2 linked regions of the Canis lupus familiaris genome follow. The main gene of each other region encodes a partner of the protein of the gene in region 2 in a complex. Links are inferred from orthologs where the notes say so. Each region holds a gene or a part of one and is shown on either strand. Other genes may lie near its edges.

Evidence for each region. Proteins that work in one complex are often made in the same cells at the same time.
Region 1: the proteins of RPS6KA1 (region 2) and SYNJ2BP are in contact, whole or in part, in a crystal structure (PDB 7P74), measured with the Homo sapiens proteins. The link is inferred for Canis lupus familiaris from reciprocal best matches to the Homo sapiens genes RPS6KA1 and SYNJ2BP. Residues at the interface, in NP_002944.2 of Homo sapiens: Pro731, Ser732, Thr733, Thr734, Leu735; in NP_060843.2 of Homo sapiens: Arg18, Gly22, Leu23, Gly24, Phe25, Asn26, Ile27, Val28, Gln33, Ser45, Arg46, His78, Val82, Phe85, Arg86.

What each region holds. Positions count from the first base shown.
Region 1 is NC_049229.1:44,348,504-44,352,246, forward strand, and holds the start of SYNJ2BP (synaptojanin-2-binding protein), read right to left. Parts: upstream 2,292-3,743; 5' UTR 2,252-2,291; coding exon 2,188-2,251; intron 1-2,187. UniProt on the Homo sapiens protein: Regulates endocytosis of activin type 2 receptor kinases through the Ral/RALBP1-dependent pathway and may be involved in suppression of activin-induced signal transduction.
Region 2 is NC_049223.1:72,914,480-72,918,222, forward strand, and holds the start of RPS6KA1 (ribosomal protein S6 kinase alpha-1), read right to left. Parts: upstream 2,417-3,743; 5' UTR 2,331-2,416; coding exon 2,196-2,330; exon of another isoform or gene 1,428-2,195; intron 1,407-1,427; exon of another isoform or gene 1,387-1,406; coding exon 1,270-1,386; exon of another isoform or gene 1,016-1,269; coding exon 934-1,015; exon of another isoform or gene 728-933; coding exon 647-727; exon of another isoform or gene 472-646; coding exon 392-471; exon of another isoform or gene 1-391. UniProt on the Homo sapiens protein: Serine/threonine-protein kinase that acts downstream of ERK (MAPK1/ERK2 and MAPK3/ERK1) signaling and mediates mitogenic and stress-induced activation of the transcription factors CREB1, ETV1/ER81 and NR4A1/NUR77, regulates translation through RPS6 and EIF4B phosphorylation, and mediates cellular proliferation, survival, and differentiation by modulating mTOR signaling and repressing pro-apoptotic function of BAD and DAPK1.

The DNA.
Region 1 (3,743 bases), on a different chromosome or scaffold from region 2:
GAAATTTTGGAGAATAGTGAGCTGAACATTAGTCAACCCTACTATGCAAACTCCAGAAAAGGTGAAGTGATATTACACTGAACTTTAAAAATATATTCAGTGACTTGAACACCCAAGATAATATCAGAGTTCTGCTCTGCTGTGGATGCCACAGCAAAAGAATTATGTCAAAGTACATTAAATTCTTAGGAGACACGAATCAAATCCCAAATCACATCAAGGCAGCTAATATAATAATTAGGGATACTGAGGCTATAGAGGAAAAAGACAAAACAGGAGCAGAACAACTAGATGTCTTTAAATACTTGCAGGATAATCAGAAAAGGAACTAGCATTGTTTTAACTGGCCCTAGGAACAAGAACCAGTGGATGAACAGTATAAGAATGCAGATTTGGCTTAACAATACTTTTCCATATTAGCTTCAGAAGTCAATAAATATGAAGAGTGAGAGGAGAGGGGCACCTGGGTGGCTCAGTCGGTTGAGCGTCTGCCTTTAGCTCAGGGCATGATCCCAGGGTCCTGGGATTGACCCGTCTGTCGAGCTCCCTGCTCATCAAAGTCTTTTTCTCCTTTTGGTTCTGCCTGCTTGTGCTCTTTCTTTCAAATAAATAAATAAATAACATCTTAAAAAAAAAAAAAGAGGAGAAATTTACATAAAGTAGGAAAAAGGAGTCAAAAAAACTGGGCATACTGAATGAGCATTCAACAAACATTTAGGTGCTCCTCTGAAGCAGGACATTAAGTCATGCAGATTAGAATGAATTACATCCATAAGTGAAGCTGACTTCCAATCTTCTATGACAAGAAAAAAGGCAAAGTACGGATGATTCTGAAAGGTATATTTTATGAAGAACAGTCTCTAAGTGGTATTCAAGATATTGCACAATTCCACATGAGACAAGATGATGGACTGTTCTAGTAAATGGTAATGGAGCCAAAAGGAGCAGAGATTTATGGAAACATTTCAGAACTAGAGCTCATGTTACTTGATGACTCTTGGAATAACAGTATTTAGCAGGATTTTTGTGCTAATCTAGCTATTCATCTATTAATAATAACAACAATGGAAGCAAACACACAGTGCTATCTAGGGTGTCAGGCAATGTTCTGAACGTTTTACATAGATTAACTCATTTCATTCTCATAACCCTTTGCAATATATTCTATTATCACGCACATTTTAACGGATGAGAAACTAAGGCTTAGCTTCTATCAGGAGAGTTAGGCAGACAACCGATGTCAAAGTTCTATTAAGAGGTTAGATGCCAGATGGATCTACATAATCCCGGAGCCAAAGCTCTTAAATCAGTAGACAGCTGTAAGGGGAGGCAACAAAACCCAAGGCAGGCTGCATATAATGAGTTAAGAGCCCAGTGGAGTGAGAGCGTTGGCGGAAACACAGGGGTTTGAGGAGAAAGATGACTGAAAGCTAAGTGAGGATTTAGCGGTATCAGAATCACAGGACGTGCTTGTTTTGAAAAAAAGAAAAAAAAAAAAGAGAGAAGAAACAACTCAAACAAACAAAACCTGCATTGAATCCAATTTCCTAAGAGATGGGACCTAGGAAATTTTTTTTTTTTTTTTAAAGCAAAAGCATAACCGAGAAACCCTGGGTAATATTGAGGCCCAAGTAAGCTTTAAAAAGTGCTGTGGCAGATCTCTAAGGTTTCTTAGCGTTTTAGCATTCCAGTCGACACTCTAAATGAATTTCCCAAAAAAATGAAAAGAAGGAGGGGAGATTCCAGCAGTTAAAAAAACAACAAAAACAAAAACACAAAAAACGGCCATGCGTTTACAGTCAACACCGTGTACGCTCCCATTTTTCACTAAACAGGTCCTCACGGGAACAGGGATAAAAAGCAGGCAACGGAAGGAGGGGTGTGGTGTTAAAAAAGCAGGCTTGGGGCAGAACTTTCTGGTACAATTTGCCCGCCAAGGAAAACCTCCCTGACTATAAATACATGTGACAATCCGACTGAAAAATGAGGTGGATTCCTCGGATCCGGGTCCGGCTAACGAAGGATGCCAATATGGTCTTGTACGTGCTCAAAGCGTCGCAGGGAACCTCTAGGCTGGGGCCTGTCTGCTCCAAGGCCAAACCAACCGGGGCTCAGCAGAGGAGGTTGTCTGCTCCGCAATTACAACCTCAAGCACCCTGCTCCCGGAGACCACCTGTGCGCACGTACCCGAGGGTCCCCTCGTAAGATTGATTTCCTCCTCAGTGACCAAGTAATCCACTCTTCCGTTCATGTCTCACCGCTCGGCCGGCTCCGCGCCCGGGTCGGCTGGGACTCGCGCAGGTGAAGGTGAACCAATCTCTGCGCGCCACCCGAGGCACAACGCTTTCGGTTTCAGCAGCCCGCGGACCGGAAGAGGAAGGCGGGCGCGCTGGGAGCGCGGGGCATGCTGGGAGTCGTGGTTCGGGCGGCCAGCCCGCCATCTTTACCTCGCCCGGGTCCGCGCCGCCAGCTCTGAGGTGAGCGACGAGCCGCTTGCCGTCCTCCTTTACCGTCGGGAGTGGGCGTCGTCGAGGTCACTCAGTTGATATTGGTGAGGAGAAATTAAACATGAAATCTCCTGACATCTTAGAAAATCGCTACAAACCTGGGTGTGGGGGGTGGGAAATAAGTTCTGTTACTCAGTAATCCTGAGACCCGAGTGGGAGGAGGGGCGTGCCAGGCGTTGCCGCTAATGCGACTGCAGAGCACGAAGTAGCCGGGCAGGTACCATCCGTTCGATGCGCGTTCTCGTGTAAGAGTTTGCTGTATTCGTTCTTCGGTAAGTCGCCCCTGTAGTGGCCACCCACTTTGTTACTGAATTGCCGTGATCCAAAAGGAAAATAAAACTATGACAAGCAGGTACTTAAAAGCTTGGAGCAAGGCGCTGAGGCGGTAACTCCTACGGGTGAGGGGAGACGGGGCACTATCTTCCTTGATATTTACATTTCAGAGACTTGTACCTCACAAGAGGCTTTTGGGCTTTTAGAAAATTGTATGTATATATAGAAGAGACAAAGGAGGGGTACCTAGGTGGCTCAGTCCTTTAATCCTCCAACTCTTGATATCTGGCCGGGCCCTGAGCTCAGGTTGGTCGGGTCTGTGGAGGCCGAGAATATTAAGGCCATTCCACTCTAAGTTCAGTGTCAGCACGAGTACAGCCATCCCAGGCCCCTGTGAATAAGAGCCGAACTTTACCTTACTTCAGTTACAGGAAGAAAACAGCTTAAAGCTTAACGTCCTAGAAAGCCCCATATTAGAATAAGAACAGAGCTCAATGCCCTTGAAAGCCCCATATCAGAATGTAAACAGAACTTGAGAAATGGTGCAGCCACTCTGGAAAACTGTGTGGAGGTTCCTCAAAGAGTTAAAAATAGACCTGCCCTACGACCCAGCAATGGCACTGCTGGGGATTTACCCCAAAGATACAGATGCAATGAAACGCCGGGACACCTGCCCCCCGATGTTTCTAGCAGCAATGTCCACAATAGCCAAACTGTGGAAGGAGCCTCGGTGTCCATCGGAAAATGAATGGATAAAGAAGATGTGGTTTATGTATACAATGGAATATTACTCAGCCATTAGAAACGACAAATACCCACCGTTTGCTTCGAAGTGGATGGAACTGGAAGGAATTATGCTGAGTGAAATGAGTCAATGGGAGAAGGACAAACATTATATGTTCTCATTCATTTGGGGAATATAAATAATAGTGAAAGGGAATAGAAGGGAAGGGAGAAGAAATG
Region 2 (3,743 bases):
TAAAATCCTTTTGGTTAACACATGGGACATAATGTTAAAATATCTAAATTTCTGGGCAGATTTGGATTTCTTCCCATCCTCACAGCCCTGCCTAGGGCAACCTCGGAAGAATGGAGGTACAGAGGTGAAAGAACCCTCAGCTCCTGGGAATCAGAGTGGCATCAGAACCATGGCCTGATCCTCCTCCTCCATCCTGGGAGAAACTCTGAGGCTTTGCCAGGGTGTACGCTCTGTCCCAGAGTGGGTTCCTAGGTCGGGTCTGCGGGGCAAGCCTGAGTGGTCCCAAGTCCAAGCCACACTGGACATGTTCTTCACTGAGCCCTGGGACAAGAGGTCTCGTTGTCCCTCCAGCTCCAATCCGGGGCCCAATGGCAGTCAAGTGTCAGCTTACCTCTTTAGAGAGCCGGGTAAAGAGGTCTCCACCACGCAGGAAGTCCAGGATAAGATAGAGCTTTCCCTCCGTCTGGAAGGCTGGGGAGAGGGAAAAGGCAATGGTGGAGCCAGCTGGGCCCTGGGCCCTGCCCCTCTACCCTAAGCTCCCTTTGTCTGCTGGGGTAGGGGTGACCTAGGGGAAAGGTAGTAGCCCACAGGCAAGGGCAAAGGCTGGTAGGTCGGGTGGGAGTTCAAGTAGGGTCTGTGATCTCACCATAGTGCAGCTTCACCACAAATGGGTGGTTCACATCTGCTAGGATGTCTCTCTCCATCTTGGTCCGAACGCGGTCACGCACTGGCCAGAAGAGAAACGCAGTCACAGATAATCTAGCCCCTCAAAACAGTCATCCCCAAGCCCTGGCCAAGAAGGGCTCTCTCTTTCATGTGTCCCTCCCATCTCACGGCAGTGCCCAGAGTAGAGCCCTTGGCACCCTGCCCATCCCACTAGTCCCATCTCCTGTGCCCAGTTCGGCTCTGCTTGGGGAGGTGACCTTCACTCACCTTTCAGCGTTGCCTTCTTTAGTACCTTCATGGCATACAGGTGCCCACTATCAGGTCGGGTGATTTTCCGCACTAGGAAGACCTGAGAAGGCAATGGGAAAAAGCAGAGAAATTGGGGAGGGGACTAAGCCTATCAGCTCCTATCCTCTGGGTCCTAGGTTGACCTCTAATTTTCCAGAGTCCTAGGTTGACCTTCGGGCCTCCCTGGGTACCAGAGTGACCTCCTGCCCTCCCCTCAGACCCATCAACCCTTGCCCTCTGATCCTGAACCCCAAAGTGACCCCTAACCCCCACCTCTGACATGAGTTGCCCTCCCAGTTTGGGCTCAGGACTCACTTTGCCAAAGGATCCCTGGCCCAGAACCTTGAGCAGCTCAAAATGGGATGGGTCGGCCTTCTCAGAGCCAGCCTTGACATGGTGCGTGATGGAGATCTCCTTTAGGACGCCCTCATCCTGATGGAGGAACAGAGCTGGTGAGTATGGTTGTCCCATCCAGGTGAGCAGGGAATATGGTCCCCATCCTAGCCTACTCCTCCTGGAGGCAGGGCCCTGTTAGCCATACCAGATGGCCATACTGATGGGGCCAGCCTGCTGGTTCATCAATACCAAAAGGGCCTCAAGGGCCAGGGATGGTCAAACTACCAAGGTGCTGAGTCAGGGGGAGGCACTGCTCCTACTGCCCCTGCTGCTCTGACCTGGTGAGACCCAAAGGGATACCCAGGCACAGCCCAGGTCCTGCCTGTGGGACTCCCCTCCCCCTGCTGCAAAGGTGTTAGTTTTGCCACAATAGGAAGTAGTGTGTATTCTCATACCGGGGAGGTAGAGCCAGGCTTTTGTTCCGGGTCAGAATGGATGAGAGGATCCTTGGCCAGAAGGACAGTGCTCAGATGCACAGACACTCAAGAGTCACTAGAGACCACCCCCACCAACCCAGTAAGTGCCAGTCAGGGGTGGACAGGAGCTAAGGCCGAGACTCCATGATCCACTCTTTGAAACTTCCTTCTAGGAGTTTTCTAAAAATCCGTTGCTGGTCCTAGTTGTTCTAGGACCCTTCTGCCCTCCCTCCAATCTGCCGGGATTGCCCTGGAGCCCTGAAGTGCTTCCTCACTTCCCCAGGAAGCAAGTCTGGGCAGGGTCCAGTTGTCCAGTAGGGCCAGGCCTGGGCTAGGAGAGCCGGAAGCCAACTAAGGCCAAACTAGCTGCCCAGGCACCTGCTCCAAGGACCACAGCTGGGCCAGGACCACACATCTGGGCACACTCACCAAGTCCCGCCTGGGGCCAGAGCCAGGGCCAGGGGCAGGCAAAGAGGTCTGGCTGGTCCTGGGCCGCTGCTTCCTGGGCAGCCAGGGGAGCAGGGCCCAGAGCCGCAGGCGGGGCGGCTTGGGATCCTGCTCCATTCGCCCGGCAGGGCCAAGGCACCATGGCAGGAGCAGGCAGCGTCCGGGGCTGCCTCCGAGGTGGCCGGGCCCAAGGCGGATGTGCAGGGTGAGGGCGGGGGCTGGGCCCAGCTCAGCACCGCCAATCACTTAGGGCCTGTGGTTTCCCAGCTCCAGGCCTACAATCTTACCACGTTCCCTTCCTCTCTTTTGCCCCCCTCCCCGTTGCCTGAGTGCTGCCCTCCGGCCCTCCCCCTTCCCCCATCCTCCCTGTGGGCCTACAAAGGGAGAGCCCCATGCCACTCCAGCTGCTGAGGGGGAGACAGGTACCCAACAGGCAAAGACTGGCATCTAACATGCAGAGGCAGATAAAGAGGGACACCCAACAGATAGAGGCAGGCATCAACAGGTAAAGACAGACCAAGGTAGGCATCCAACAGGCAGAGGTGGGAGGGTACACATGCCCACCAGGCAAGGATGGATAGGGACACATACCCAGCAAAGGGAGGTAGGAAGAACACTTACCCAATGATCAGAGACAGATGGGGACATGTACCCACCGAAACAGAGGCAGGAGGGAACTCATACCTGACAGGTAGAGGTGCATGGGGCATATATCCAACAGGCAGAGACAGAAGGGGACGTGAACTCAACAGGCAGAGACAGATGGGGACCCAACAGGCAGAGGCAGATGGGGGTTTGCATCCAACAAGTGGAGACAGATGGGGACATGTACTCAACAGGCAGAGACAGAAGGGGACACCACCCAACAGGCACCCAACACGTGACATGTACCCAACAGGTGAAGACAGGCACTCATCAAGTGGCAAGAGACAGGAACCCGACAACAGAGGCAGGTGGGACACAGAAAGAGAAAGCCAGTCAGTAAGGCCCAAGTAGACTGACAGATACCCAGGCCAGTGCACAGAAAGCCAGGCCCGGAACTCAAGGGCAGAGCTCTGGGTTCTTGCTAGTCTTCTGGGAGGTGGGGTGGGGGAAGAGGTGAGGGGATATCACCTGCAAACATCCTGCATCTTAGAGAGCAGCCCAGTATTCATGGCAGACACACCTCTGAGGTTTCATCCCATGCCAGGGCCTGGAGAGGCCCCAGGACTAACACAGTGGGCTGAGAATGCAGTCTGATGGCTTTGACTCTGATCCAGGTTTCCCAAATCTGTTATCCCCATTTCAGATACAGGAAACCAAGGGCCAGAGGACCGTGACTCACCCAGCCTGAGAATGGACCAGTGACAGAGCCAGTGACACTCAAACCCTTCCCCTAGTTACTGCCTGGCATGGGGTCAGCAGGCCTCAAGTGCCAGGAAAGGGTGAGCAGGTAAGTCAGCGAGAGCCATGCCCTGCCCATCCAAGCCCATCCCCTCCCTCAGTACCGGGATCAGTCCAGGGACTTCCCATTCTAGGTCTAGGACCCGA